Linked DNA regions of Bombyx mori. The protein of the gene in region 1 interacts with the protein of each later gene in a pairwise test. Links are inferred from orthologs where the notes say so. Each region holds a gene or a part of one and is shown on either strand. Other genes may lie near its edges.

Region 1 (2,835 bases):
TCGCGAGCGAACGCTTCGCCTTCTTCCTTCTTCACTTCACGTCGGGATTCGAGATCGCTGAAAAACAATCCGTCGTTTAGTTTAGTACCTAGTTGTGTAGTTAAATATGTTTAAAATCGTACAATCTCAAGAAAGTTATAAATATTCAATTATTCAAACGAGTAGGTAATTTAACTAAATAGGGTAGTTGTATATTTTAATTGCTGAAATCGGTACGAGATCCGAATCTCAATCCCTTCAAGCCTAACTGCGTGTTTGCTTTGCTGTTGAAATTAGTTTAAAATGTGAATTAGAAATGTGATAGCGCCAAAACTAGAGGGCCATTCTACTGTATGCGCGCGAGTTCATGTCCATCGGGGCACGAGGCGACGCGCAGTGGACAGCTCGCCCCACCTTCGCCCACCACCCCGCATTTGTCTGACGTCGAGTGTTGTCCTTGACGGTTGTGACGCGCGCTTATCGATATCGATAATTTACGCTAACGCTATTGTGTTATTTAACCATGACTACTCCGCTTCCAACAAGTTCAGATAGAAAAAACAACTACTAAAAAAATATACATACTGATTCCGACTGTAATCTATCGGTTGTCCTTTCATTTGATAGTGATTGAATCGGAATTTAAAAAATATTTTTCTCTGTTAGAAATAAACAAGTAATTAGGACTTATCACATTTTTACCTCAAGTTACATTAAAGCAAATTTACAGCTGTTGACTAAATCGGTAGTTATTATCGACATTACCATAATTAACTAGGTCACAGCACTACCGCATTCTTTAGGATAGACGTGAACTCGGGCGCCTACTGTAAGTACGCTCGGACGGGCAGGTCAGGTCAGCCCACGGGCTCATCCTGAGAGAATTGCTAACACTAGCCCTAGCCAGAGCAATGCTTCGTTGAATCACGACCCAGTGAGAAAATTTGACGAGAAACTCGGTGAGTTGTGTGTATGAGTTAGGTTGCACGTGGAAATCTTCATTGTAATCGAAATTCAACATGAACAGACTATAACAACTTTAAAGAATTAGGAGAACAGTTCAAAATAATCTAAACATACCGACTACTACCATAAATGCACACCAGAAATTGCCTAATTTTTTTCTTTTCTTTAGACAATTGAATTTGCTAGCAATTTTTAAACTATAAATATATATTTATTTACGTTCACCTTTATCATACCAATGTTACGTACCTCTTGTTACCGATAAGCATAATGACCATATTCGAGTTGGAATGTTGTCGCGCGTCCTCGAGCCACGTTGTGAGATGATTGAAAGTCTCCCGTCTGGTGATGTCGTAAACTAACAGAGCGCCAGCCGCGCCCCGGTAGTACGATCGGGTGATGGACCTAAAACAATACAAAGATCGATTCTTTCAATTCACAAACTTAAAAAAAAGTAGAAGTTCTTTTTTTTTGTTGCTTAGTTGGGTGGACGAGCTTACAGCCCATCTGGTGTTAAGTGGTTACTGGAGCCCATAGTCATCTACAACGCAAATGCGCCACCCACCTTGAGATATAAGTTGTAAGGTCTTAGTATAGTTACAACGGCTACCCCACCCTTTAAGCCGAAACGCGTCACCGCTTCAGGGCAGAAATTGGCGGGATGGTGGTACCTACCGGTGCGGACTCACATGAGGTCCTACCACCAGTTCAATTCAAGACTGTTTCGTTTCTAGTTCCATTATTAAAAAAATAATAAGGTATTTATTTCTAGTTGATGTAACCGAGAATCTCGACAAAAATTGATCTTTGGACGAATCTGTAGATATGTGTAAATCCTGGAAATGGTACAGTCTTCCTTTATACAACGTTTGAAGAGTTTTCTGCAGGAAGCAGCTATGCCTTAGCAGTTTTCATGTCTATGATCGACGAAGTTGTGTGGTCGTTTACTTTCAAAGACACTCACATGTTCATTTTTATCTTAGTTTAATTAACATTAAAATAGAATTCATTATTTAAAACCATTACAAACCTGAGATGTTTCATTCAACCTTGATGGATGTCGATAATTTAGTTAGAAATCAAGTCTTTCAACATGTCTACAGTCTAGACTGTAATGGCTTTGGAACATTGCGACACTTCGTACTTGCCTCACACTTATCTTTCCATGATATATGGGTATAGCCTCACTTGATCTTTCATAATATAAAAATAGTACCTAATTATATTTTTGCTATAAATAGTAAAATAGACAACCGTTAATTCAGTTTTAAGCTGCCGTGGTCGTAGTCGTTAGACGTTCTGGATATTTTTATTACATCTTTCGTGGTCAAGGACTATTAAAGAGTCATACGTGATAAAATTATAAAAACACTTAATTTAAACTATAAAAGTAATTTTAATTCCTTTACTGCACTTTTAGTTTACACAACAAAAATTCAATATAAATAGTTGTTACTACATAATTAGTTGAATCTCGGCAATATCGAATCAAGTCGTTGCTTTTTATACGATAGATTATATTTGCATTTAATAAACATGTCCCATATACATGGACACATTAGAAAACTTATCCATAAGCATTATTTTTCTGTAATGACACTTGAATCTATGAGTGCAATGTCGTTCACCTAATGTGATCTAAAGATTATTTCTTATAATTTTTTTTATGTTTAGTAATATTTATTGCAAAGATACGTGATCGAGCTCACGGGCCACTAGTTGTTAATTGGATAAAAAAGCCTATAGACATCTTAAAGTGAACATCATTACCGTGAACATCAAGACATGAGCTCTTATTCTCAATACTGGAAAATTAGGGCTTCGCGATTAAAAACGGAAGCCGCTAGTATTTTTCCCTAGATTACTCCACCCCTAATATAAAACTAAACA
Region 2 (3,525 bases), on another chromosome or scaffold:
GATTTGCATAGTTACATTCTGCATACCATTTTATTACATTTTTCAGGTGTCAGATGGAAAACCAAAAGAACTATTTCCCACAAGTAGTTCTAAATCATTAGAGCCAACTATTTCTAAGTACACAGAGACATCTTTCCTAGTAGGACGTGACCAAACATCGGTTCTTATAGAGGAGTCTAATAAAAATGTCGATATAAAGAAAACTATTAAATGGAAGGAGGCGCCTCTTGCTGTGGGTAAGTTTGTCTGTTTATTGTTCTATTAGATATCTGTATCTCATCAACTAAGCATACGCCTGTCTCAAAGCTCTAAACATAACCTTTCCTCCGACTTTAACATTAAATCTCTGACTAATAATCGGCGCTGCCCACCGATGTACTTATTGAAAATATCGCCCATTTCTGCCGAGACTTTATGAGTCCTTACTTCAATACAACTGAGATTTGCACCTAACAGCTAACTTAGGTATTTTATGTTTGTGCGACCCATCCAATTGGAATCTACGTTATTGCTGTGACTTATGAACATCGTCTTTCCCGATGCTGCGGACTGAATGGTAAACAGTCGACGTCGCCCAAAACACGTAATTTTTATCCCCCGATCTGCTAACGGTGTTTTCATGTACATCAAGTACCGATTATTCCTCTCGTCGAACCTGTTGCCTGCGACGAAGGGCTCGGAAGAGAATGCCCATGGCATTAAGTCCGCCTGTGTACAAGTTTTGTTTTGTGCATAAAGTATAAATAAATAAAATAAATAAATAAATTAAACCACAGACACAGTCCACTGAGTTTCTCGCCGGATCTTCTCAGTGGGTCGCGTTTCCGAACCAGTAGTAGATTCTGCAAAACACTGCTCTTGCTAGGGTTAGTGTTAGCAACGTCGTCAGGTTTGAGCCCCGTGAAATCACCTACTAATTCGGTGAATCTAGAATAACCCCTTGAGGTTACTAGAATAGGTAGGAAAAAAGTAACAGCAGGTAGGTACTGGATTTATCTGTCCATGTACGTTAATAAGAATCTGTTCGGCGTTTGAAAAGAGCTCAAGTCATTGCATTGTACATGAGCTCACGATTTAGTCCGTATTAACTGGTTATATTGCCAAACATTACAGCGTGAATTCCGCAAGTCTTAGACATATGTATATAGGTCTAAGTGTCTCTCATAACGCCCAACCGTTGTCCCACCCTACCAACTGGAAAGTACTATTGCGACATATTAGAGACAAGTTAGACGGTACCCTAATGTGGGCTTATAAAACATCAATACCGATAATGGCTGTTGACCGCAGTATGTTGCTACGGTATTCAGAGAACACTGCTATCCATTCTCTGGTGAATCTGATTGCTTTTTACGACTTAATAAAATACAATCACTTTTAGTGTGGGATCAGCCGTTTGTACTGGGTCTATTGCAAGATCAAGTTGTTGTGCAGACTGTGGAGCCAGCGTTTTATATACAATCATTGTCCGAATTGAATAAAGCAAGACTGATGTACAGGTAAAATGTAAATATATCTATATCTTTATATATTTAAATCGATGAAGACTTCTTGCGTCTTTTCATAGTCGAACCCTGTTGCATCCACCGTTTCCAATGGGTTTTAAACTATTATTCGTGCGAATATAGTTACATTGGTGTCATGTGAATTCTATTACCAACAATAAATTTTATTTAAATTCAAAAATAAGATATTCAATTTGAAATAATTTTCGCTGGTTCCTTGCATCCGTTCATGATGGAAATAATGTGTCACATTGTATATTTCTGTATTTGTTCCATACATTTAATCAGTTTTTCGACATCCATCCAAATGTATGGATATATCGGTTCCGTATACTGTCCTGTATTTATTCTATGCATTCCACTAATTACATGACTACTTGCTATATTTGAGATGATATAGGTACCGAATATTTTTTCTGTATGTACTCCATAAATTGTTTTGAGGTTGCTGCTTCCTCCTAAAGTTATAGTAATATCGATACCGTATACTTTTTGGAGTGCTGCCGTCTTCGATTAATGTAATAAATAATAGATCCCAATGAACCAATCCCAAGAACCATCTCCTTTTATGAAGTCAATAAAAATAAAATTTATGTAGCTTTGGGTTTGGATGCCGGCTTTTTTTCCTATTCGCCGGTAGCCTAGGAGACTATTTCAGTTATTACCTTACGAGTAGGTGAGCTCATGGCTTCAAACCTGAGAAAATTTGCTAACACCAGCCCTAACAAGAGTTGTGCTTCGCTGAATCTATCACCGGAACGAAATTGCGACCCACCGAGATGACAATGGTTTATCGATAGCGAACACACTCTTCAAACAACGTCCACGCAGGCTTGTTGCTGCACTTGAACTTCACCAGCTGCTCAATACTGAAATCAAATTGACTATATACTTATAAAATCAAGGTGGAGTGGTGGAGCCGACTACGGATCTGATCCTTGTCTCTAAATTCCAACTTAAACTTCAGGTTGCAAGAAAAATTAATGAATGCGAAATAATTGCTCCTCATGACACCCACATCTTTTTTGTATCTTTCGAAAAGAGTTGGAAAGAAATGAAAATTGAACGGCATGATCAACTGACGGCTGAAGAATTTTGGAATAGAACAAAAGCAATGATTTGAGAAGCAGTGAAAACATTTAAACCTACCAAATCTGAAACCAAAAACATCAGCACTGGATGAGTGATGAAGCTTTACCATTGGTGGAAGAGAGACGACACAAAAAAGCACAGGAAGTTGAAGTGCAAATACTGAACAAACTGGTGCTAACATTCAAACAGCCTGTAGGAGGGATAAAAATAACTTTCTGAGAGAGATCTGCTCGAAAGCTGAAGCGCATGTTGAAAAACACGAAACAAGAGATGTACCGGAAAATTAGTGTAATCCCCAAAACTTGTGTCAGACCTGGGCTGTTGAGAAATCGGATGGATGTGTAGTAACAGAGTTAGAAGACTTTCAGACCGATGGAAAGAATATTGCCAAGCTCTCTTCTTTGACCCCGACTGCAAAATTTTACCCCCAACGACATCAGATATCCAAGAATGCGAATCAGAAATACTGAAATAAGAAGTTCGTCATGCCATCAAACATCTTAAAACTGGAAAAGCAGTAGGAAGTGATAACATCCCAATCTAGACAGTTAAAGATTTTAGCCAGAGTGGTGTCGAAATCTTCCACGCAATTCGTACAAGATATGGAAATCTGGCACCTGGCTTACAGAATGGACGCACTCCCTTTTTATTCCTTTGCATAAGAAAGGTTCGACAAGGAAGTGTAGCAATTATCGTCTTATTGCCCTGATATCAATCACACTGCAGCAAAATTCTACATATTCTTAATGAACGTTTAAAAAGCTGTTCAGCAACACAAATAGTACCAGAACAAGCTGGCTTTGTAAAGGAAGGGAACCAGAGAACCGATCTTGATTGTGCGACAAATAATAGAGAAGCCGAGAGAGTTCAACATGCAAACGTTCATTTGCTTAGTTGACTTTCAAAAAGCATTTGACTCTGTTAAATG

Evidence for each region. The genes of interacting proteins can lie anywhere in the genome.
Region 2: the proteins of GTP-binding protein RAB2 (region 1) and vam6/Vps39-like protein interact in a two-hybrid assay, tested with the Drosophila melanogaster proteins (2 studies listed by BioGRID). The link is inferred for Bombyx mori from reciprocal best matches to the Drosophila melanogaster genes Rab2 and Vps39.

Annotation. Positions count from the first base shown.
Region 1 is NC_085125.1:6,237,469-6,240,303, forward strand, and holds part of GTP-binding protein RAB2, read right to left. Parts: intron 1,351-2,835; coding exon 1,195-1,350; intron 58-1,194; coding exon 1-57. UniProt on the Drosophila melanogaster protein: May be involved in bidirectional endoplasmic reticulum (ER) to Golgi trafficking. Together with Rab7 involved in promoting fusion of autophagosomes and endosomes with lysosomes, probably through recruitment of the HOPS tethering complex.
Region 2 is NC_085124.1:8,478,529-8,482,053, reverse strand, and holds part of vam6/Vps39-like protein, read left to right. Parts: intron 1-46; coding exon 47-236; intron 237-1,381; coding exon 1,382-1,499; intron 1,500-3,525. UniProt on the Drosophila melanogaster protein: Part of the homotypic fusion and vacuole protein sorting (HOPS) tethering complex involved in endo-lysosomal vesicle trafficking and lysosome biogenesis.